Linked DNA regions of Arabidopsis thaliana. The main gene of each other region encodes a partner of the protein of the gene in region 3 in a complex. Each region holds a gene or a part of one and is shown on either strand. Other genes may lie near its edges. The genes, in order: AT4G02580, CI51 and EMB1467. A codon is read from its position in the direction of its gene.

Evidence for each region.
Region 1: the proteins of EMB1467 (region 3) and AT4G02580 are in contact, whole or in part, in a cryo-EM structure (PDB 8BED), measured with the Arabidopsis thaliana proteins. Residues at the interface, in NP_568550.1 of Arabidopsis thaliana: Val203 (codon at 4,438), Lys205 (codon at 4,432), Val225 (codon at 4,276), Ser229 (codon at 4,264), Gln235 (codon at 4,246), Asp236 (codon at 4,243), Leu237 (codon at 4,240), Gly238 (codon at 4,237), Ile239 (codon at 4,234), Leu240 (codon at 4,231), Gly241 (codon at 4,228), Arg242 (codon at 4,225), Gly245 (codon at 4,216), Glu246 (codon at 4,213), Glu247 (codon at 4,210), Gly249 (codon at 4,204), Thr250 (codon at 4,201), Tyr251 (codon at 4,198), Val252 (codon at 4,195), Glu253 (codon at 4,192); in NP_567244.1 of Arabidopsis thaliana: Asn33 (codon at 2,077), Tyr34 (codon at 2,074), His35 (codon at 1,964), Leu36 (codon at 1,961), Val90 (codon at 1,169), Met93 (codon at 1,160), Ala103 (codon at 996), Ile105 (codon at 990), Arg106 (codon at 987), Tyr108 (codon at 981), Glu109 (codon at 978), Thr112 (codon at 969), Phe113 (codon at 966), Tyr114 (codon at 963), Ser115 (codon at 960), Arg119 (codon at 948).
Region 2: the proteins of EMB1467 (region 3) and CI51 are in contact, whole or in part, in a cryo-EM structure (PDB 7AQR), measured with the Arabidopsis thaliana proteins. Residues at the interface, in NP_568550.1 of Arabidopsis thaliana: Gly115 (codon at 4,807), Asn116 (codon at 4,804), Cys117 (codon at 4,801), Arg118 (codon at 4,798), Leu121 (codon at 4,789), Lys129 (codon at 4,765), Pro130 (codon at 4,762), Ala135 (codon at 4,747), Met136 (codon at 4,744), Pro137 (codon at 4,741), Lys153 (codon at 4,588), Ala154 (codon at 4,585), Glu156 (codon at 4,579), Gly157 (codon at 4,576), Val158 (codon at 4,573), Glu160 (codon at 4,567), Phe161 (codon at 4,564), Leu162 (codon at 4,561), Met164 (codon at 4,555), Asn165 (codon at 4,552), Arg194 (codon at 4,465), Phe195 (codon at 4,462), Glu197 (codon at 4,456), Met198 (codon at 4,453), Arg200 (codon at 4,447), Ile219 (codon at 4,390), Gln220 (codon at 4,387), Ile239 (codon at 4,234), Gly241 (codon at 4,228), Arg242 (codon at 4,225); in NP_196470.1 of Arabidopsis thaliana: Gly225 (codon at 3,487), Ala226 (codon at 3,484), Gln243 (codon at 3,433), Lys245 (codon at 3,427), Leu248 (codon at 3,418), Pro250 (codon at 3,412), His399 (codon at 2,965), Glu400 (codon at 2,962), Ser401 (codon at 2,959), Cys402 (codon at 2,956), Gly403 (codon at 2,953), Gln404 (codon at 2,950), Cys405 (codon at 2,947), Thr406 (codon at 2,944), Pro407 (codon at 2,941), Arg409 (codon at 2,935), Glu410 (codon at 2,932), Gly411 (codon at 2,929), Trp414 (codon at 2,920), Met417 (codon at 2,911), Ile418 (codon at 2,908), Arg421 (codon at 2,899), Met434 (codon at 2,860), Glu437 (codon at 2,851), Val438 (codon at 2,848), Lys440 (codon at 2,842), Gln441 (codon at 2,839), Ile442 (codon at 2,836), Gly444 (codon at 2,830), His445 (codon at 2,827).

The regions. Positions count from the first base shown.
Region 1 is NC_003075.7:1,132,672-1,136,843, reverse strand, and holds the start of AT4G02580 (NADH-ubiquinone oxidoreductase 24 kDa subunit), read right to left. Parts: upstream 2,416-4,172; 5' UTR 2,259-2,415; coding exon 2,190-2,258; intron 2,105-2,189; coding exon 2,072-2,104; intron 1,965-2,071; coding exon 1,899-1,964; intron 1,269-1,898; coding exon 1,152-1,268; intron 1,018-1,151; coding exon 940-1,017; intron 851-939; coding exon 745-850; intron 654-744; coding exon 607-653; intron 495-606; coding exon 417-494; intron 301-416; coding exon 235-300; intron 46-234; coding exon 1-45. Other genes in the region: CUL1 (cullin 1), read right to left, coding at 3,409-3,510, 3,600-3,767, 3,867-4,085, 4,168-4,172. UniProt on the Arabidopsis thaliana protein: Core subunit of the mitochondrial membrane respiratory chain NADH dehydrogenase (Complex I) that is believed to belong to the minimal assembly required for catalysis. Complex I functions in the transfer of electrons from NADH to the respiratory chain.
Region 2 is NC_003076.8:2,757,150-2,767,145, forward strand, and holds CI51 (51 kDa subunit of complex I), read right to left. Parts: upstream 4,871-9,996; 5' UTR 4,578-4,870; coding exon 4,575-4,577; intron 4,157-4,574; coding exon 2,699-4,156; 3' UTR 2,681-2,698; intron 2,463-2,680; 3' UTR 2,168-2,462; downstream 1-2,167. Other genes in the region: AT5G08520 (Duplicated homeodomain-like superfamily protein), read right to left, coding at 216-592; AT5G08535 (D111/G-patch domain-containing protein), read left to right, coding at 5,306-5,368, 5,561-5,791, 6,040-6,171; AT5G08540 (ribosomal RNA small subunit methyltransferase J), read left to right, coding at 6,765-7,217, 7,301-7,396, 7,503-7,680, 7,757-7,854, 7,998-8,059, 8,129-8,282; ILP1 (GC-rich sequence DNA-binding factor-like protein), read right to left, coding at 8,832-9,024, 9,466-9,755, 9,856-9,996. UniProt on the Arabidopsis thaliana protein: Core subunit of the mitochondrial membrane respiratory chain NADH dehydrogenase (Complex I) that is believed to belong to the minimal assembly required for catalysis. Complex I functions in the transfer of electrons from NADH to the respiratory chain.
Region 3 is NC_003076.8:14,892,643-14,902,638, reverse strand, and holds EMB1467 (NADH-ubiquinone dehydrogenase), read right to left. Parts: upstream 5,230-9,996; 5' UTR 5,150-5,229; coding exon 4,729-5,149; intron 4,624-4,728; coding exon 4,377-4,623; intron 4,281-4,376; coding exon 3,986-4,280; intron 3,907-3,985; coding exon 3,532-3,906; intron 3,187-3,531; coding exon 2,291-3,186; coding exon of another isoform or gene 2,287-2,290; exon of another isoform or gene 2,205-2,286; coding exon 2,192-2,204; 3' UTR 1,992-2,191; downstream 1-1,991. Other genes in the region: GORK (gated outwardly-rectifying K+ channel), read left to right, coding at 7,756-7,943, 9,325-9,549, 9,636-9,699.

The DNA.
Region 1 (4,172 bases), on a different chromosome or scaffold from region 3:
TCCTTCTGGTCCACACTTGATCCTCTTCGGGTTCTGAGTTCCATGCTGAAAAACAAAGATTAACATTATAAGAAGTTGGATTTGGATTTTGGATTTGGATTTTGGCTTAGAGGCTACGTTCTCCAATTTGGAAAGTTAACCGAAACCAGATTGTTTTCCCCCACCGATGTAATGCAATAGTAAGAGAAGAACATCAGGAAAGTATCCAAATGCAATGGGTTGTTAATGTCTTACCGGTGGCTTTTCTCCTTTTCTCAGCTTTTCAACAATTTCTACGACTTTCTCAGGTGTAACATCTTCCTGTGTATTGTAGCATAAGACAGTGTAAGTATGATTTCACTCTTCCGACGTAACCCACATAAACAATAGGATAATGCAGGAGAAAAAGAAAAATTGTTCAACGAGATTTGACATACGAAATAGTTATATGTATATCCTTCTGATCCATTGGAATAGTCAGCCACAGTGATCATGGGTGCATTAACACAACATCCCTGTAACAAAACCAAACACATTAGATCTGCATTGAATCTTTTCATGTGAAAGTACTAATCTTGGTTATTGTTCTGCATGGATTAATGAATTGAGGTGACGCAAAATCCATACCATGCACTCCATCTCTCCAACAGAGAACAAACCATCCTTTGTGACCTCTGCACAAAAAACATTAAGACCAAAGATCGTTATGACTGATCATCACCTCCATATGATTTTGGTTATGAAAGGAAGCACATAGAGCTTTACCACCGCGTTTCACTCCCAAATGGTCTAGCAAAGCTGATTCGATGTCTCGTGAACCACGGATCATGCAAGGTGTTGTGCCACAAACTAGAAGGTGATACTTTCCAACCTGTAAGAGCAAAAGAAAAATGAGCCTGCAATGCGTCTTTCATTGAGTACAGTAGAGACTTGAGTTTAGGGGTAGAAAGTACTTCTTACCTTTGCTCTGTTGAACATTGAGTAAAATGTTGCAACCTCATAAACACGGATAGGGGCAACTTCTATAACTTTAGCAACCTGCAAAAGTTTGTTGCATTGTTATGACGGTAAAATCATATCAATGAATGTTGTATTCCAAAAAAGAACTTAAGAAGTACATAAAATTAAGTCTTAACAGAGAAAATCGAACAAAAAAATCTTAGAAGACATACCGCATTCATTGCTGAAACAGGGAGCCAGCCTCCATTCTGCTGTTGTGCAAGATCTAGGAGAGGAATAACTGCGGACTGCTTGTAATTGGATGGATAGTAAGAGAGAATCTCCTTAACCTACACATTTTGGACATAACAATTCAGTAAGTCTGGATGCATGCGGAAATCGATTTCACCGTTAATGCAAGATTACTGTAGCCAGAAATGAAAGATACAGTAAACTGGAACTAAATGCACAAGAAAGTATTAGGATTTAAACTACAATGAAACCGGTTTACTAATTTCTGGACAGTCTTTCTGCCACACTAGCAGATTCAAATCTGTTGGCCATTTGGGTCGTTCACTCTAAGTCTCTCCCTTAAATCAGTTCCAGAATAGCCGATTCTAAATATGTAACAACAAATAAGCAATCAAAAATATCAGAAAATCCCAGTCTTTGTCTTTTAATATCCTTTGGTAGAATGCTAACTAAGAGAACCATAATTCATAATCAGGAGACAGGGACTAGTTATAACTAGGGTCAAACAAAGGGCTAAAGATTAGGGAACGAGGGCTAAAGATTCCAACATTTTCACGAAAGAGTATAAATTAATTCCACCATTACGAACATGTCACACAATTCCCTAGATATTCTGTAAACATCACAAAAACGAATTCGAATCCGTACTGGATAAAAATCCCCAATGCGTTCACTAAAACTGTAAATTTTCGTCATTATCACATTAAGAAGCGATTTTATTCACTGACCTTAGATTGGTTAGCCTCTGAAAACTCCCATGGAAGATCGGGTTTGTTATCAGGAGAATCCAGATGCTATAAGTAATCAAAACAACAACAACAACAAAAATCAAATTACAATTAATTTCGGATAAAATTAGACAAAATTGAAGCATAGATCAGATAGAATATCCAACACTCACGTAGTTTAAGGCCGTCGATAAGCTACGAGTCACCTGTAGATAGAAATGACCAAAACGGAGAATGAGATCGGGAAACGACCGGAGAGAAGCTGAGAGGAAGCAAGGAATTAGAGAATACCTGAGAGGTTGGTTGACGGAAAACTTGACGGATCTCGAGAAGACGCTTCGCAGCGAGCCTAGCCAGCATTTTCGACAATTTAGAGGACGAGAGACGCACACGAAGGTTTTTTTTGATCTGAGAGAGAAGGAGAAGCAGAGAAACCAAGGAGCTAGACTCGGTATCTCACTATCACCTGGCGCAGGATTGACTATAGCCTCTATGGGCCTGCTAAAATAAGCCTGACTTTAATTCATTATTGGTCTATTACTTTTGGTTTAGGACTGATACATACGAGTAGCTTTAAAGGCCCATTTTATTAATTAAAGGCCCATACATGTAATACTTGAAGCCCGTTGGAATTTGCTGATTCTTATAATTTGCACATCTCCTCGCAGCTTTTTCATCATAGTGCAATGGCATGATTCTTTGTTTGTTTAACAGAATCTCAAGCAAATAAAAAGTGAGAAACATTTGCTCGATGGAGTAAAATGACTCCGCACCTCAAAACATATATGAACAGAATTTCTCCATGTCGTATATATCATTCTCTGTGTAGGCTCCAAATATCGTCTTTGATGATCCGTTCATAATTCATATTAACCCAAAAAAGAAAGAAAAAAGCACATTGGAATCAAGTAATATAATCCACCAGCTCCACCATTAACCCGTTCAAAATTGTTATTAACCTTAACATACCCGTCTTTGTATCCCAATAATATTTCAGATCATCATACAACAGAAAAACGGCTTAAAATATAAGACATTGGTCCTAAGCAGAAACTATTACGGTTCTGGTGGACTATAGCTAATGACGTAGATGATTACAATGATTTTTAATGTTCGGCGATTGAGGAAGGCACCTTCCGTCGGTTCATCTTTGTCTCATTAGCGTTCGATTATAAGAAATCTCATATTATTTGTTACGACTTTCCCATCCGTCAATATAACACAGAGATACATAAAACTTAAATAATATGATCAAGGATAAATATATTAGAAAGCAGAGATTCATTCATTAAGGCCATTTCTCCATCTCCATTCAATATTTAAGAAACAAAAATCCACAAGGCAAATTTGCATCCCAAAAAAAAAGCACAGACCGAATATTTTTTAAAAGAGAAAAATAGCGAAAATGAAGCGATAAATTTGTTTTAGGACAGTCTCCATATGGACTTCTAAATATACAAGCAGATTCCTTTCATGAGCCAACCACTTCCATAGTTGTTGTTTTTTTGCCCTAAGCCAAGTACCTAAACATGTTAGGATTCTCCTTGTCCCTCTCCAAATAATCTCTGGTTATTAAATCCTCCATACGCTTCTTGATCGCTTTGATATCAGGCTGCAACAAACATCACAAATCCAATGAGTTTCATCACCACGTGCATCTTCAAATGTCTCTGTATAAATATAATTATATGTATAATTTACCTTGAACATTCGGCTAAGTTGCTCAACACACTCAGAAACAAGTTGTTGATGTCCCAATACTTTCCTGCTCTTCATGATCCTGACAATGGCAGCATCAATTGCATATCTTCTGTCTTTATCGACATCTTCAACGACTTTCTTCCTTTCATCAACTGGGGGAAGAGGGATCTGTGACGCAAATCACCCAAGTTGATGTTAGTTATTAACAATATGTAAAACATGACATAAACTTGCAGACTTTTGAGTATTACTATTAACGTCACAAACCTTGATTCTGCGCATTCTATCGGTGAATTTGGAGTTGAACTCAAAGGCATCATTCTGGGAGACAGTCTTGGTGTTTGGCTCCTTAAGGAGTATCTTGTACTTAGCACATGACAAGGAATGAAGCAACCTAACTAGATCTTCATGGCTTAGGTTCAGTTGAGCCAAGATCTCAGTGTAACTTAACTTGTCAGTTGTGTTAAAGAGTAGAAGCACAGCAGCCTATAGAGACAGAGAACGTGGCATCAGAGTCCGTTTACAGATAGAAAATATATATCAGTATTTTCTGAGAAACATACAGTACCTGGT
Region 2 (9,996 bases), about 12 Mb from region 3:
TTCTAACTACAGTATGACTTTGAAAACTCTTGATGTCTTAAAGGTTCACAGAATTAGACACCCAAGAGTACCAAAATTGTCACTTAAGAGAAATAATATTAATGTTCTAGAACACAATGAAGACATGGAGCACAGAACAAACATAATTTGGAAAGAATCATAAAAGAATAAGAAGAATCAGAAACTGATTAGCAGCAAAAATAAACAAAGTTCACCTGTGCTCATCTTCTGTCCACGCGATACCCTTTCGTCGTTCTTGATCGGACTTTGATTTACCTGCTTGGTTAGACTCTCCCGCATGACTGTTACCTCCTTTCTTACTACTTGCTCCTTCATCACCAGCATGGCCATTCGATCCTTCAGGAGACCCATAGGCAGGAAGAGGCACACATCCTGATTCAATCCTAGTAACATCTTCAACTAAAAGCTCGTAATGTTCTTTAATCTGTTCAACACTTTTGCCTGGAACGTCTGCAGCAATCTTCTCCCACCGTTCCTCTGATTCATCGGTATTATTGGCTAGAGCTCTCTCAAAGGCAATATCATCCTCCCTACTCCACACAGAACCATCACTAACTTCCTCCACCGTCATAATTCCAATCAAACCCGCCTCAAATTCTATAGAATCTACCCTAATCCCTCTAAAAGTCTGGGATATCAACCAGATTTCTACAAATTTCGTGTCTTTTAGATCTCCACAAACTTAACAGAATCCCAAAGAACTCAGATCTTCCAAGTATCAGTGAACCTAGCTAAAAACTACCCCTTGATATTCCAATCAAAACCCAACCATACAACTAAACTAGGGATATAAAGAGAATCTTGGGGACTCGAATAGAGATTCTCACCTCCAACAAAATGAAATTCCCTAAAAATAAGCGGAAAAAACCCTACTCTCTCTACTGATGAACTAAGACGCAAAGATTAATTCAACTTATCGTTATGAGATAGAAAGGAAAGCAAGAAGAAATTTATCTGATAGGCAAAGCAAAACGGAGATTGAAACGAGGGAATCAGAGAATTGGCAGAAGAAGAAGAAGGAAAAATGTGAACTTTATGAGAAATGGAAAATTGGGGGTTTATTGGGTTTTCAAGGGATTGCAGCAACTTGAAGGAGAGAGAGAGAAAGAGGAATAGGAAAAACCCAGAAGACTGAGAGAGAGAGAGAGAGAGATAGGGAGGGGTCAAAACGCCATTGTTAAAGGAAGGGGAAGTTCAAAACAAAGAAACAGTGAATAAAAACCATAAGCAACAGTTTTCACAGCTCAAGTCCGCTGTTGTTATTTTTGGTATTGTTGACTCTTTTATTATTTGTTACACTTCCAATTCATATTGGAATTTCCTTGTTGACCAAATTATGCCATATGTATTTTATTACTGCTACTCCTCATCGTTGGTAATTTCATATCAGTTTTTTCTTTTTTCACTTTCATAATGCTTTCGCATGTGACTAGATTTTTCTTTTGGTGACATTTGGGGAGGCAATCATTGATGAATAATAATTATTTGTACGGTGATTATAAAAGGCAATGAAATACTATATCAAACTATTTGTAAACATTGTTCAAACTTAAGCTCATATCGAAAATCGAAAACAACAAAGATGCTAATTGCCTATATGACGACTTTCCGAGTTATGCAAATATGTGATTATGTAATTTCATCATACAACAACTTGTTGATTCAGTAGTTCTATCGATTAAGTAAAGAAATTGGAAAAGGGGGGAAAAAGGTGGGAGAGGTGGACAAAGAAGTTAGGGAAGATGTTGACGTCTTATCCATAAATATCCTCCAAAAATAATATCCAATCAGACCGGTCCCCATCACCCTCACAGGTCTTCCTTGCCTTCATTTATCTCTTTTCCTTTTTCTCTCTTTCTCCATTTCAATGCGAATATATATATCACTTCCATTTCATTTTATTCTTTAAGTTATTCCATTTAGAAATTTCTAGTTTATAGTTTTAAGATGATTTCTACTTTGTTTGATTTTACGAAATCAAGTTGGGACTAATCACATTTTGGTTATACATTATCCAAAAAAACTAATTTTGGACTATCATATCAAGTTGTATACAGAACAATGATATACCAATTTATATCCTAGAGATATTTTTCAGAAAATGCCAAAAAGAAACATTGATTTATAATTTATTTGCTATGTGAACTACTTATAAACCCAAAAAGGAGCATTCTTTATTTCAAACATGAAAAGGGTTTCTTTGGTTGTTCCCAAAATGTGCTTTCATACTCGAATAAACATAACAAGCAAACAATAAAGAAAGTAGAGTAATGCAAAAGAGCAAATCGCGCTCTTTCTGATACAACTTTAAGAGAGTTTTAACATTAACCATTCAAACAAATTACATTACCTTCTTCTCCTTCTGAAGTAGCTTTGCATCCCAAAACCGTTACTAGTTGTTCATTCAGATTTTATTTCCATGGAGAATAATAGCAAACTCCCTGCAAAAACATCAATTTTGTAAGACAGGGATAGAGCAGAAAGATAGTTACGGAAACTAACTGTTCATTACGGCTCAAGTTCTTGAAATGCCCAAAGAAATTAGATACAGAGCAGTCTACCTTGTCACAAATACATTCTAAAAGGCTGCGTAAACTCTAGACCTCAGCTTTTAAGTTTGCAACAGAAGATTAAAAGAGCAAGGACTGGAGATGCAAACCTCTGGTTAACAAGGTACTTAAGCAGCAGCCTGTAGCAACTCCCTTTCAGCGCGTTCCCTGATCCTTCTCTCGAGCTCTGGCCTAAAGTGTCTTATCAGACCTTGCACAGGCCATGCAGCTGCATCACCCAATGCACAGATTGTGTGTCCTTCGATCTGTTTGGTTACCTCCTGCAGCATATCAATCTCTTCCAGCTTTGCATTGCCAACTTTCATTCTCTCCATGATCATCCAAAGCCAACCTGTTCCCTCTCTGCAAGGAGTGCACTGCCCACAGCTTTCATGCTTGTAGAAGTAAGAGAGCCTTGCAATTGCATCCACAACATCGGTTGATTTATCCATCACAATGACTGCTGCAGTTCCTAACCCTGATTGGACAGCCTTGAGCGCATCGAAATCCATCAGCACATCCTCGCAAATGTTCTTAGGGATCAGAGGAACAGATGAACCACCAGGGATGATAGCAAGTAGATTGTCCCATCCACCCCTAACACCTCCACAATGCCTCTCAATCAGTTCCTTGAGAGGTATACTCATCTCCTCTTCCACCGTGCATGGCTTGTTTACATGGCCTGATATACAAAAGAGCTTTGTCCCAGCGTTATTCTTCCTACCGAAACTAGAAAACCACTCAGGTCCACGCCTTAAAATGGTAGGCGAAACAGCCACTGTTTCCACATTGGTAACAGTTGTGGGACAACCATATAAACCAGCATTAGCAGGGAACGGAGGCTTCAACCTAGGTTTTCCTTGCTTCCCTTCAAGGCTTTCAAGAAGCGCAGTCTCTTCACCACAAATGTACGCACCAGCACCAAAGTGGATATAAACTTCAAAATCATAACCAGAACCACATGCATTCTTCCCCAAGAGACCAGCTGCATACGCTTCTCTTCTAGCCTTCTCTAGATTCAAACGCTCATTCACATATTCACCCCTGATGTAAATATACGCAGCACTAGCTCTCATTCCAACACCAGCAATCAAACACCCTTCCAACAATTTGTGAGGGTCATGACGCATGATCTCCCTATCTTTACAAGTTCCAGGCTCACTCTCATCAGCATTGACAACCAAATAGGAGGGACGGCCATCAGAAACTTTAGGCATAAAGGACCACTTAAGACCAGAAGGGAAACCAGCACCACCACGTCCACGAAGTCCAGATTTCTTCATTTCATTGACAATCCAATCAGTACCCTTGAGCACCAAATCTTTGGTCCTATGCCAATCACCTCTCTTCATCGCGCCTTTGAGAAATGGGTCATGCAGACCATAGAGATTAGTAAAAATCCGATCTTCATCCTTGAGACCACCGAAATGAGTCTTTTCCGGAGGCGGAGGAGGTGGAGGAGGCTGTGGAGTGGTGGAAGTGGATGCAGCTTGAGTGCTGAATGATCTCAAAGCTGGAGTCAGTCTGTTACTTTCCTTCCAAATGGACACTGCCCTTTGCAAGCCAAGAATCCCCCTCACGGGTGCCTATCATCAAATCCATATAACAAAGACGGTAAATGGCAAATTAACTCAAAGTAACACATGATCTACTTTAAAAGCATACAAAAAATTGAAGCACGAAATCAGTAAAATTGATGATACAGGAGTTAAGTGTCGCGTATAAAATCGCTGTTTCAACATTAGGAAACCAAACAAAACCAACAAAAGCAGGTGAATAAACCCAATCGCTCTAAATCGATAAGCTCGACCAGATCAATCATAACCCGCTAGATCTATGTATAAGAAGATGCCGCATTTTGAAATTGTTCAGCTGAATTCAAGATAAATACACTCAAAGTCTTAATTTTGAAAACCCTAACAAATGCGATCGAGAAGAAAATCGTATAACCTAGAAATGAAAACGGAGATCATCAAAGTGAGTGCGCGAAAAGAGATTGCTTACCATGGAGACGAAAATTTCCGAGAAGTAGTCTTTCAGAGAGATACTGGTCTTTGTTCCTGAAGCGTGAAGGCCACAAGAATGGGAGCTTGAACAGACACGGAGACGAAGTTATAATCACTGCCCACCTGAGACCGACGAACTCGAGATAAGCTGTTTGGTTTAGATTACTCCGCGTCTTCTTGACGTTAAGCTTCTCTCTATTTTATGGGCCTCTCTTGGTCCAGGCCCAAATATTCTGGTCCGGTATGAAACTATCCTAAACTTCGATAAACGTAAAATATGTGGGTCGAATATGAAATAATTATAAAGTATTGGGAACAATTAGCATTTAGAAACATAAGAGGCGTCTTTTTATAATTTTCTCAGTTCCCGTAAGACGATCCAACTGCTACAGGCCGGCGATTAGCAAAGGCGGTGGTTCGATAGAGAGAGGAAGAGATTGAAGCGATTTTCACTCAGTTTTCATCAGATCGTCTCGGTGATTCTAGGGTTCATTGGTCTCGTTTTGTTCGGTGACTGCTTGAGTTTCACGTTTTTGGTGAGTTCCGTCTATCTATTATTATCTTAATATTTTGATGATTCAGGCTCATGGTTTGTGAAATTTGCTCTAATTTATTCCAGGAAATAATCAACATAAGCGAATTCTTGTGTTTGGCTTTAATTGAACCCTGAATTTAGATGATAACAATATTTCTGATGGTTGGTTCATTGTATTTAGGTTTCGATTTCTTATGGGAGATTCCTCGGTTTCGACAAGTTCATGGGCTGTCATTGAATCTGCTAATAGGTTTCAGGTATAACTCATTTCTGGATGCATCTCTTCTATTTTGTGCTGCATTTAACCTATTAACATTTTGTTTACTGTTCAGTGGTAGGAAACTTTTGGGTCTGTTTCTAGTTGTGAATTGAATAGACTACAAGAAGTAAGCAGAACTGAATGTGCATTCCTTTTGTTTTTATTGACAATTGTGAGTTAACATGTTCAGGTGTCGAGCGTTATGGGTGAGTCCTCTGGATCAAGCAGTTCATTGGCTGCTATAAATTCGTCCAACATTGGGTTTCAGCTCCTAAAGAAGCATGGCTGGAAGGAAGGCACTGGTCTTGGAATCGCTGAACAGGGTATATTGGTGCCTCTACAAGCAGAGCCAAAACATAACAAACGAGGAGTGGGAGCTAAACAACCAGCTAAGAGAAAAGTGGCTCAGCCTCAGGCTAAGGTCTTGTTTCTTAAAACCCTTACATGCGATAGCCTTTAAATCTGAAAATAGCTAATGATGAAGAAGTGTTCAGGCATTGATAAAGAGTCTCATCTGATTTTATTTTTTGAAAGTCTGCATCAGCGACACTTCATATCTCAATAGTGCTGGACTTGATTTTTGGCTTATCACGTTGCCATTAGCTTTTATGTTTCATTTGTTTTCAAGTTAGGCATCGAAACTTATCTTTTCTTTACTAAAATTTTCAGGATGAAGAAGTCTCAAAGCAGAGTAAGAAACTTTCGAAGAAAATGCGGAAGATGATGGAGCACGAAAAACATTTACAGGAAAAAGAATTTGAACGAGCCTTCTTTAGGGAGTTCTGGCCCGATAATGTATAACTAGGTTTTATTCTTTTACTTCTTATTGACCTGAATGTTCCAAAAGCTTCTGTATTTACTGCAAATTTAGAATAACTCTGTTCTATTGCCTTATCAATGAAGAAAAATAGTTATAGAATCATGCGCTCAACCTTATACCTTTAGAAAATGGGAAAAGAAAATGAAGTTAATGCAGACACTTCAAGTAAAGGTTTTTGTTAGCAAGTTTCTAAAGTGTATGTTCATGTGCCTTGCATTGGTACCCATGCATTTAGCATGACCAAATCACTTTATATTGTGAACTAAATTTGGGATAATAATCCGATTTAACATGGGAGTAACAAAAAATTCTAGCTTGTGTGGGTAATTAATCCATTTGTTATTATGTCTGCTGTCTGCTGAATTCACTTTTTCTTCTTGTTAAAAACCATTTGATGATCGTTTATAGTTAAAATAAATGGGCCGAGTAAAAAAGGCCCATTAATGACCCCTTCAAATAAATAGAAATTGTTATATCTTCTTCCTTCACCTTCCGTCGTAGTTCCCCGACAAGCTAACTACTGTTGAGCCCCGCCGCATCCGAAGCCGACTTTTCAAATCGTCGAGCTTCAACAATGACGTCTCTTCTCCTTCCTTCATCTCAATTTCTCCAGACTCGAACCCAAAACAATGGCCAACCATTCCTTCTCCCTCTAACACCACTGTTCGCACCACTACCTTCTCTCCGTCAGTTGAGACCGAAACACATCTCTATTTCCGCCGCAGCGCCGAAGAAAAAATCGGAGACTGTCACGGCGCCGACACCGGCAGCGAAGAAGAATTCGAGCGTGGAGGAGGAAACAGAAGAGGAAGTAGAGGAAGATATGCCGTGGATTCAAGAGAAGGCGTTAGACCTAGTCGAGTTCACTGGATCGGTGAGTCAGGCGATTCCTGGTCCTCGAGTTGGAAGTAGCAAATTGCCGTGGATGCTCGCCGTTCCGTTAGCTTACGCCGGCGTCACTTTCGTCACTGCTTTCGTCAAAACCGTTCAGAAGTTCTCTTCTCCTAAAGCTCAGCGCAAGAAACTGGTCTCTGATTCCACTCTCTCTTTTGTGATCCTTACTTAAAAAAAAAAAAACTAATTCAATTTTGGTTTTTTGAATCTCTTCAGGTGAATCAGAATGCTATGCTTTGCAGATCTATAGATGAGCTATTAAGGAAAGCTGGAACAGTGCATAGCTCTGAGCTTAAGGCACTTGAACAAAAGGTGAGAATATATATAACATGTCACTAATCTTTTGGTTTGATCTCTTAATCATTTCCAGTTCAGAATTTGACATGAGGATGCTGAATTTTGTTTTTCTACAATCCAGACAGAGTTTAACATGGAGGAGATATTGCGGAAATACATTCGTTATGCGTTGAATGAGAAACCGTTTAATCCCGACCTTGTTGCTGATCTCATTCATCTAAGAAAAGCTTCTGGTTTGAATGATTCTCAGATTCCTGAGATTTTAAATGAGATCTCTCGTCGTATTGTCAAGGAAAAAGGTAACCAAAACTTTGTTAAGGTTCTCTATTGTGGCAGTCTCTTCTTTATTGCTCTTGACATATTTGATTTTGGCAGGTCCGGTAGTGATGAAAATGCAAGGCTTTACCGAAAAAGGATTCAAGAGAAAACTCGCCGTGCAAGCGCTTTTTGGAAAGATTTACTATCTTTCTGAGGTAATCAATGTGGAAACATTACTTGTACTTGAGAGAATCTGCTTACTCTTTCAACATTTTCGTTGATCTAATCCTGAAGTCAAATATGCATACAATGTTTTCGATGTGTGATAGATTTTCTAACTCCATTCTCTCTTCAACAGCTTCCTGACTTCTGCTCAAAAGACAACTCCTTAATCGTCAAGGAAATATTCGGCGTTACAGAGTATGTTAACTTTATTCTTATGCTTTTACAATGTTCCTTTTACTTGACCATCTCTACAAAACATTTCAGTGAAGACGCAGAGAAGCTGCGGATACACGCTCTTGCTGAAGCTGGAGACATAGAGGCACTTGAGAAAATGGTGGAATTTGAGAAAACTGCGGAGTCTTCTTCGGATAAAGAAGAAGATTCAAATGAAGAAGATGACTCTAACACCACTTCCTAAGATGTTTGTTCAACGACCAACTTTCAACAGTAGATTCTTTCCAAAGGGGGTTTTCTTCTTCTGTTCTTTGACTTATACCCCAAGTTGTGTTGTTTACAGCAGAAGACGTCTGATTCCAACAGAAATTGTCTTTTGCAAAAAACCATGACACAGCTCGTAATACAAATTAACTGCATCTATAGTGCAGCACAGCAATACAAGTTGGGGCTTATATTCATAGAAATAATATTGTCTTTGCTAAATCTAAACTCATACAGATATAAAGGGAAAAATAAAAGACTCGAGATACTTTAGCTTATATTTATTATAAGGTTTTCTACAACCACAAGAGGTTACACTTACATTAAGCCAAAGTACTAAAACTCTTCTGTGTCTGAAAATGGATTCCGGAAGGTTTTGGTGCTAGCCTAATAATCCTAGGGAAAATCTTGTAATCCTCGATGTTGAAATCGATGAGCCTTTGCTGGTACAGCCCGAAAGGTGAGCCTGATAACCTGAGGCTAAAGATTTCTGTGTTGACTTTCCAGTTTCCCATCAATAAACTTTTGGTCAAACTGCCTCCTTAAGATTGAATGTTCTGACAATTTCCCTGGCGTGGTCATGTTCATGGAGCTCGACTAGTATTCTCTTTAATCTGCGGGCGAGACCAGTGGTTTCCGCATCGTCCAGTCCTGAGCCAAGCCTTTTCTCGAGAATTCTTCTAAGTGTCAGAGTACAATCCACAAGAGGTTGCAGCGGACGACTGCAAAGTCAAATAAAATATTTTAGTATGTATCAAGGCAAAGGTTCAACATAACGTCCAAATATGAGATGCAGATATCATGTGAACCAAATGAAGATAAACAATGAAATTGATTGGTCTAAGACGAATGAGATTCCCAAAAAAAAAACATAAAGACCATAGCCTGACCAATACTCCTAATCTTGAAAGAATTGCCCAGATTTTGCAAGATAAAATTATGTAATTTAAACATCTTAGTCCCGATTCGACAGCTTTACTTTACTTGCTTTCGTGCACTTGGAAAATAAGCTTTTAACTTTTCATGCAGATGGACTGTAAATTGTAAAGGTAAACAATATGCAACATCACAAGATGCAACTACAATGCTTCGTTACAATGAACCATGAGAAACCTTCATGTGTGAGAAAGTAAAATTTCAGATTTGATTGTTAAATCATTTACCTGTGGGTTCGTGTGACGCTTGGTCCTGTCCACACTCCAGACAAAGAAGCAACGATTCTTTCAGTTCTTGTCACAGCATCATGGATATTTGATGCAATGCTTCTGACATGGGGTAGAACTTTTCCAAACAAAAGGTCACTAAGAGCCAAGTTCTCCAACACTGGAAGCGCCAGGATGTCTTTCCACATACATATATTTCTCATAAGACGGACTGATGTCCCAAACCTATATGCGGCAACTTGTGGAGTATTAGGTACAGCCTTCAATACCAGAGGATCCCATGTCGGAACCTGGAGAATAAAGAACAAATCAGAGGATATCATTAGTCCAGAGTCTCATAGCAGACTCATTAGGAAATTAGTAGGAGATGTAACGAATTCAAATTCATACACTAATAGCTGCAATGGCTTCAACAAGGCGAGCACGAATAGCAGCAAATAGTTCTGCTAAGGCCTCACTCGAAGCAGAAACATAATTTGTCACCAAGCTTGTAGCAGCAACAGCATTTCTTGTCTCCCGGGTGCTAAGTAT
Region 3 (9,996 bases):
CTCTTGGTTCGAGCAACTGCAAACTAGTCATCATAACCATGCATAATCAACTCTTATTTTGAATTTAATAGAATTCTATATATTGAGCAAAATAACAAAATTATATATTTTGTATCTTTTTATAAAGATGACTGCACGGAGATTTAAAAAGTTATATTTACATTTTTGAAATTAATTTGTTTCTAACAACAATAATTTAGAATTTTAAAGGTAATTAATTAAAACACACTTATATTTCTTACATAACTAAAACTTATACCATAAGAAAAAAATAGTTAAAACATCTTATAAAACATAAGGAAGGGTACTACTTACATGATGTTCGACATTATATTGATTATAAGTGAAGTTCCAAGAACCTTGGGGCTTAGATTTGTTGGAATACGAATTTAATCTCAAAAGTTTGTCTTTGGTGACTCTTTGTATGGGTATGGTACCAATGGGACACCCTACACCATTTTCCCACAAGAAACCAAATTTTTTGTCATTTATTTTTCTTGTTCTTGAATTTTTACGGGATGATATCTGATGCATCTACATTTACAAAGAATTTTGTATTAGTGATAAATAATGATCAGATTCACTTATATTCAATTTATTATATACTTTGTAGTTGAGCAAGTGATTTTTCATGGTCTGATCGTCAAACGCTGGTTGTTTGTAAAAATCCACACATTCATATGTATCTCCATGTGTAGTCTATCATCCATAAACAAAAAGTAGATTATAAAATATTTTGTAAACTTCACATATCTCTACAAAATTCAGATATATATATATATATATATATATGTATAAATCAAGGTAACGAGTGCAGCTCTAAGAAAATAAGATGAAATTAAACGGACTTTGATGATTTTAGCTGCATGTTCGTCGATGACTTTAAGTTGTTCTTCCATTTCAAATGAGGTGAAATTTTGCAATGTTTCTGCATCCACAAAATGATTATTGAAACTCGATATATCGCTGAAACATAGGATATAACCTAACAAGAAGAACAACTTTCCTGGAAAACTTAATTTCATATTCTCTAAGAAATAAGGTTGGAGTGGCAATCAAAGAGTAAAGAGAGATTTATATAATAATATCAAAATAAATGAGATAAAGAGAAATATAAATAACATTAATATTTTCTAGATACACATGATTTCTTTTTCATAAAATTTGAACTATATAATTAACTCATTTTTTTATTAAGTGTTATGGTACATGATTATTGTTATTACATGTATTGTGTATCTGTATAAAAATGTGTAAATCTAGATTACTAACTTATGAACTTAACTTGGTATAATTATTTTATTATATAAACTTTGGTTTTCAAAATTAGTAACTCACATGATTGCGACACGGGTAACTTTCTCGATTAGATATCAACAACTGTTTTATTTTTTTGTTTTCTTTTACAGAAAATAAAAACTAATTAAAAGAATATTTACATATACTAATTATTCTTACCCAAAAAAAACTAACAAAATGTTTTTTACATGTGTTATTGGTCAACAAGATTTGGACATGTATCAAAAAAATCTTATCCATTTAGCATGGATTTTAACCAATAAACAATGTGTTGAAGTTCAAAAAAAAAAAAAAACAGGTTATTTAAAATTAATTAAATTAAATAATTTTTTTGCTTATATTATACTTTTAGATATAAGACCTAATCAGTAAGAAAGCAATTTGATAATAAAAAGTTGGTTGTTTGAGAAAGATAAAAAAAGTTGGATGGATTAATTATCCCAGCTATAAAAAAAAATTGATTGGTTTAGGTAAGTTTTTCTAAAATAAATTTATATGTTACTTGTGATTGTCTTTCATAATCTATCTGAAATTTTCTTTATGACCAATCACAAAGTTGAAACTGAAATGATTTTAGGTAACATAACTTGTCAAAAACAGTTTAGTTCACAAGTGATCATCTCACATTGGAAACCATCTAATCCTTTCAAGATTTGCATTATTTGTAACAATCACAATGGTTAAGAACAAACGATAAAAGTAGAGATTGTATATATCGCCATGCCTCCAAATTCATATATGCAAATGTAAAAGGGAGTCCTAATAAGAACAATACAAGATGCCACAAAGCATCCAATTAACACTGCAAAGTTTTGAATCTAACAATGTGCTTATTGCAAATTGCTTATAGATTTCACCGCAAGCTAAACCCGAGATACAGTGATACTCAGGCTTAAACAAAAGGTCTATAAAGAGGACAGCAAACGAAGAATCAGTATCTTTATTTTTGCGAAAAGAGAGAAAATGTGAAAACCCAAGTTAAAGCTCTCACTTTTTCAAGAGCACGGCACTGCACTGCGCCATGATCTTTGATGCTCTTGTGATCGAGTTTGTCATGTAAAAGTTCTCAACCACGGTTTGGAACGGTGTTGTGCTCATTGCCTCCTTGCACTCAGGCTTCAATGAAGGCCCAAAAGCAGCTGGCTCTCGCTCATCTGTGTGGACTAGATTTGGTGCAACGCTCTTTATTCTTGATCTAACACCTTCGATTGAGTTGTATGGAAGCTTCACACCCGAGACCTCGGATAAGGCTCTCACAATCTTCCAGTCATCTCTTGCATCACCAACTGTTGGAACAGCTGGAACAGTCTGTTGGGTAAATCCTTCAGTATTTTCATAGGTTCCTTCTTTCTCAGTGAAGGCCGATGCAGGGAGAATTACGTTTGCACGGTAAACCGCTTTGTCTCCATGGTGTCCTTGGTAAACCACAAAGGCGTCTTTAGGAATCTTGTCAACATTTACATCGTCTGCTCCCATCAAGTAGACGAATTTTGCAGACTCGAGGGCTTTGGCGGACTGTTGAATGAGACCAAGATCAAGAGCAGCCGCTTGGGCAGCATACTGAAGGAGAAAGTTGAGACCGTTCCAGTCTGGTCGGACAACATTGTTGGCTTGTGCAATGGACTCCACAGAAGAGAGGATAGCATTTTTATCAGTTCTGTTGAAGAGCCCAGCACCAACAATGATTGCAGGGTTTTTGGCGTTCTTGAGAGCCGTACAGAATGGATGCCGTCCCTCAGCAATTTCCTTGAGAGTATCAGGCCCAGTCCCGAGGTGTTTGCAGTCGTAATTGAACTCTGCAGGTGGACCAACATATCCAACCTTGGCATTTGATGCACGGACTGTCTTGCAGATCCTAGCATTCACCATTGCAGCTTCCACCCTAGGCTGGTAAAAATAGACAAAAACTGGTGAATGTACTGCTAAAAAACCTTCACAACTTTGATATCTGGAAGAGCAAGTTTTGCTTGATCTAGATTGGTCTGGATCAGGAATATTCAATACAAGCGAAATGTTAACATCTGATCTGTTTTTTAGAAACTTAATTTTGCTTGTTTCTCCTTTCTATTTGCCTCTGTATTCCAAATTATGCACAGAACCTTAAGCCACACCACTAAATCAAAGTATCAAACTACACAATTTGGTTTTTCTTATGTCATTGTTCCAAATACAGAGCGGTCTGTCTAATCCGGTACCAGAAACCATACAAAAAAGACAGGGTGGAAATCTCACCTGGGTACCGATGAGAAGGAAGAGATCGGCGTTTTCAAGTCCACTGATGCTAGTGTTCATCAGATAACTGTATCTAAGATCAGCATCAACACCAGCAGCTGTTCCTTCACACCATACATTGTCTGAGCCCATTCTGTTAACGAAGTCCTTCAGTACCATCATGGATTCCGCATCAGATAGCTGACCTGCTACTCCAACAATCTCATCTGGCTTCACCTGATGAATGATATCACCCACAACAGCCAAGGCATCACGCCAGCTCACTGCCTTGAATCGTCCATCGGAATCTCGGATCATAGGGTCGCTCAGCCTTTGTCTTTTCAGGCCGTCATAACAGAATCGGGTTTTGTCAGATATCCATTCTTCGTTTATATCCTGAATAAGAACATTCACAAGTTCAACATCCAGCAAAATACTTTTAAAAATAGTGTTTTTGAACAAAAGCATTACATACCTCATTCAGGCGTGGAATGATACGCATTACTTCTGGTCCTCTACTATCAACACGGATGTTGGACCCAACAGCATCACTAACATCAATAGTTTCTGTTGCTTTCAACTCCCAGTTTCTGGCTTTAAAGGCAAAAGGCTTTGAGGTCAAGGCTCCAACAGGACAGATATCAATAACATTTCCAGAGAGTTCACTGGTCATAAGCTTTTCAACATAAGTTCCAATTTCCTCTCCACTACCACGACCTAGTATACCAAGATCCTGAACCCCAGCAACTTCAGAAGCAAATCGTACACACCTACAAAAACATTATACATACAAAACCTAATCAACAGGATAGCGTATCTATCACATTAACTAAAACATCACACTATAAGCAAACTATATTAGTAACCTTGTACACTGGATACACCGAGTCATAACAGTCTTCACAAGAGGACCAAGATTCTTATCAACAACAGATCTTTTCATCTCAGTAAAACGTCCTCTATCAGATCCAAAAGCCATAGACTGATCCTGAAGATCACACTCTCCTCCTTGGTCACAAATAGGACAATCCAAAGGGTGATTCATCAACAAAAACTCCATCACTCCCTCCCTCGCCTTCTTAGCTATCGGTGTATCAGTCTTAATCTTCATCCCTGTTACAAAAACTCTTAGCAATAGCACCAAATCCAAATATATTCCACCAATCAACGATCAAAATCAATCCATCAGCATAGAAATTTTCCTGGAATCGAACTAACCAGGAAGCGCAGGCATGGCACATGAAGCTACAGGCTTAGGAGATTTCTCAACCTCAACAAGACACATCCTGCAATTTCCAGCAATAGATAAACGAGAATGATAACAAAACCTCGGGATATCAACTCCAGCGACCTCACAAGCCTGAAGAACAGTGAATCCTTTAGGGACTTTGACCGCGTAACCATCGACAAAGACCTCGATCGCATCTTCAGGATTCGAGAAGTGGACGCGTGCTCCACCTACAGGGTTTCTAGGAGGGAGAATCTGTGTCGGCGGCTCAGGCTCAGAGACAGCAGCGGATTCAGGAGATTGGAGCTCTGGTTTTGAGACGATTGTGCGGAGGAAGAAATTGGAGGTTTGAGATTGAAGAAGACGTGAAGCTGGTCGAATTGTTCGAGAAGCTAAGATGCCTAAACCCATGGCGTTGTGGATCTGTATCGTCTTCTTCTTCTTCTTCGTCTTCTATGTGTGTATTTCTCGATCTTGTTGTGAGAACTCCTGAAGCATTTGTGCGAGAGAGAAGGAGACACGAATGAGTGAGTTTTGGGCTTTATGGGCTTTTATTTTGGATATTATAATTGGCTTATGAATGAGTGAGTTTTGGGCTTTGTGGGCTTTTTCTTTTCAAACTGAATTAAGTTAATTTTGGGAGATATAGTTTAAGAGTTTTGATGATCTTTCTCTAATTCACTTAATGACATTGAGTTTAAAACAATCTTGCTTCTAGTTCCATACAACATATTAGAACCTCTAGCAAAATAAACCTCTAATCAATCATTAGTCCTAGAGACTTTTAGGTCAATGTACTAATTGAACATTTGTATATTTCAGATAAAGACAACTTAAAATATGGTTATAAATGATGACAATTTTAAACATCTCAACGTCGTCTATTTAAATAAAAGGAAAGAAAATATTGTCAACACCTATGCTGCATCGGTTAAGGTTTACGTGTAAGAGTTAGTTTATTTTCCTCGTTTGTTTAGGTTTACGTGTAAGCATCATTATCAGTGATATTGTTATTAATCTAACCTTTGCAATGACAACCAAAAAAAAAAAAAAATGAAGTTTCATAAGCTTTGATATATATTATCTTATCATTACAGGCAGACATGATAAGTATAATTTAACTCGTTTAATTTGATAGTTTTAGTTATAAATTTACATAGTAATTCGTTATAATTTTAATTATGGGTTTGAATGGTTACGGCGGTTCGGGCGGACAAAACCATCAACGGATCAGACTGTTTTTTATTTACCATTAATCAATTATAGTGCACAGTGGTCCGGACAAAAAAAAAAGAAGAAAACCGCAACAGATCATCTGTGAATCATCCACGAACTATTTTTACATATAAATAAACTTGGTCCACAGCGGTTTATTGTCCGCCTCAAAATAAGGTAGATTAAACCGCATACAAAGTATACCGCTTTGTCCACTGCATCCATTCAAAACTTATAAAGTTATAAGTTATAGCTAATAAATATGACACTTTTTCAAATTGTTATAGATCACTTTAAGAGTGATTACATTCCTCTCTTGTTTTTTTTTGTCAAACAGAGTGATTACATTCCTTTCTTTTTTTTTGTCAAACAGGGTGATTACATTCCTTCTTTTTTTTTTTTTGTCAAAACAGAGTGATTACATTCCAAGGCAAAGAAACATAAGGGAGAACCACTAACTACAATAAAAATTGTTGGGTTAATGGCAAAAGAAAAAAAAGAATTAGTGGTTCTTCTATGAAAAAGAATTGCATCCAATGGAAAGAGGATGTGACCGAGTTGATAAGATATGAAACACAACATATATAGCTTTTTGTTATCAAACTATTTATCGTCTCGTATTTGTTCTAATCTAAACCGAAATACTAATATTTTAAGGAAATACTTTGCGAAAAATAAATAAAAATTCTCACCTTTATTCAATCAAAGCCAAAAATGAAAAAAAAAAATAGAAGCAAGACAATCATATTCATACAACTCGATAAGGTAGTACCTCTAAAGTGCAAAACGAAAACAAGAAATATCTCTGCTATCTCATTCTCGTCAACTAGGAAACTCTGCATAATCTCTCTTTTACACAATGCAAAGAATAAGGTGAAGATGAACTGATTATCTCTAGCGTACTATGAAAGTCAATATTTAGATGCAAATTAGGTGATTTTTATTGTCGATATTCTTCTTTTTCTGGACACGTCCTCATATTCGTGTATATTTAATTTCTTCTCTTGGTTTTATACAAAGCCGACCATTTGGAAAATTTAAAACTAAAAATCTCAAAACCTGATGTAAATTTTGATTTTACTTTAAACAGAAATCCTACGTTAAACATATAGGAAATGCTGTTACACACCCATTAATGTCTATAACTAGTACATCAATTTACAACAGATTTATTGTCTTAAAAAAAAATAACTCCCCCACTTACCCCGTGAATGTTCAAGTACACTAGTCCAGATTAACTTAAATTCGATTATGCTAGAAATGATTCACAAAAACCGGTTTAGGGAATCATCATCCAGATTTGGAGCATCGTAATCTTTTGGTAAATTTTTATTAGCCGTTCGTACAATTCAATTCCAAATTTTAATTTAGATGAGATTTTTTATATTAAAAAAACAATGATATATGTTCGACAATCGACATGTTCTGATGTCCTATATAAATTCGGTCCTTCTAGACAAAACCTTACGTTATACACTTCAACTAATAAAGAGTCCAAACCAAACAAAAAAAAAACAGTAGTTTCTCGACAGAAACAAAATCAATATAGCTTTAACATCACGAGAAAGAAGAACTAAAGAAGACCAAACAAAAAATAATTTGGAAAAAAACAGAGAAGCAGCTCTCGTGATCTTCCCGCCTTTTCTCTTCAACTTGTAAAACATTACAAGATCTATCTTCTACCAAAAAGACGAAGTTTCGAGTGTCAGATTCAAGAGTTGAATCGGGTATTAAACTCTGTTTTTCTAGATCTTTGTGTCGAAGAGATCGCCGGAGATTTCATTTAACCGATTCTTGAAAACATGGGACGTCTCCGGAGACGGCAAGAGATAATAGATCATGAAGAAGAGGAATCAAACGACGACGTTTCATCAAGAAGAGGAAAACTCAGTTTAGCCGAGACGTTTCGGTGGCTTGATTCATCAGAGCATCGGAGAATTGAAACCGATGGTCATAATGATTATAAATACATCATTCATCCCAAAAACAGGTTCTTTCTTTTTTCTCTTTCTTCATCATGCACTTGAAGAGTTTCCTTTCTATCGGGAGATAAATACGTAGAAAATACTTTTCTTGAAACCTTCAAAATATCTTCTGTTTTTTTTTCTGTAACTTCAGAAAAAAACTTTATTCACCATACCACTTCAAAAACTTGTCTCCCTAGTTTTAACTTCGAATAATACAATAATAGAAAATTCACCATTTTAATAATTATCAATCACTAAAACTCTTATCGTTATTTCTTTCTGCTCATTTTTAAGGCTGTGTCACCAATCTAATCTAATATTAGTATCACTTCAATCTAGTTTAAATATTAATATTTATGTCAAGGATTTTTTAAAACAACTAAATGATTTAAGGTTCGAAAAATTACGATAATTAGAATGGACAAATCCGTTTACAGTTTGGATTGCTTTTTATTTACCGTTCATAAAGTATAATTTATAGTAATACAAAATAATAAAAATAGAATCCGTCTACAATGGACTAACGATATATCTTTTTTACGTAAAAGTGAATTTGGTCTACAGAATTTATTGTTCGCTCTAAAAATAAAATGGTCTAATCGCTTAATTCGTATCATCCATTAATAGCCTTAGGATTTAGATGAATAATCTTCATCACTTATCAAAAGTAGATATTAGATGCTAATCAGGTGATTTTGTTGTCGATATTCTTTTCATTATTATTTACTAAGAAAAAAGAAATTGGTGGGACACTTCCTTGTGATATATTTCTTCTCTTTCGTTGTCCACTGATCACCTCAATCTAAGCATTTGTTTTATTTGCAGCCGACCTATTGAAAATTTAAAACTTAAATCTAAAACCAAATTCCGACCAAAACAAGGAAAAACTTTAAATCTATCTTTAAATAGAATCCTACGTTAAATTGCACCAGGAATAAAAAAAAAAATACTACGTTAAACAACTTGAATCCACTAGAGGATACTGTTACACTCCCATAAATGTTTCACTAGGGTTATATTAGTAATTATGCGTTGTGACAGAATCATCGAAGATCGGATTATTAATTGGTTCCACTAAAGCTGCCGTAACCAGAGGCCACACGTGGATATTTCATCCACCTGTTCTTCTAAGCATAATAACATTAACTATAAAATAACAAAACTATACTAGTGAAAATGTATATTCAACTTAGTCCAGCTATGTCGATCTTAAACAAATAAAATTTAAAACGTTGTTGCTTGCACTTAACTAATAACTATAGTATTATTTTCATTTGTCTCCTTCCCACGATTCCGTTTAGCTACATTACCAATTTGACGAATCAAGTATAAGCCACAATCTTTACATTTTCAAGAATCTTTGATTAGACCTGAATTAATGAAAAGTGAGAAGAAATTGATCAGGTGGTACAAGGCATGGGAAATGTTTATATTGGTGTGGGCAATATACTCCTCATTGTTCACTCCCATGGAGTTTGGTTTCTTCCGCGGTCTGCCTGAGAGACTCTTTGTACTTGACATTGTTGGTCAGATCGCGTTCTTGGTCGATATTGTTCTTCAGTTCTTTGTTGCCTATCGCGATACTCAGACCTACCGGACTGTCTACAAACCAACACGTATTGCTTTCCGGTCAGTTATATATATTAGACTCTTACAATCATTTTAACCATTTCTACTTATATAGCCTTTAATGGAGGAAGTATGTCTTTCATCAGGTACTTGAAGTCGCATTTTCTCATGGATTTCATCGGTTGCTTCCCTTGGGATCTTATTTATAAGGTACTTAACTTTGCTTTTGATATTTGCTTAGATCTTCAACAAAAGTCAAACCAAAGAAACACTATAGCTTATAAATATTTCTTGGTTTATAAAAACTCAAACCAAATAAACACTATTTGTAATTTGTTTGGTTCGTTTCTAGGTGATGCAACTTTAGTTCCTACTTGATGCAATTTTAGCTTAGTTAGGTTGGAAATTTTGTAAAAGTAACTTTGAAACATATAAAAATATTTCTTAACTAATATTATATTTATCTAATATGATAACACATATTATAATTTCTTATATAATTAAAAT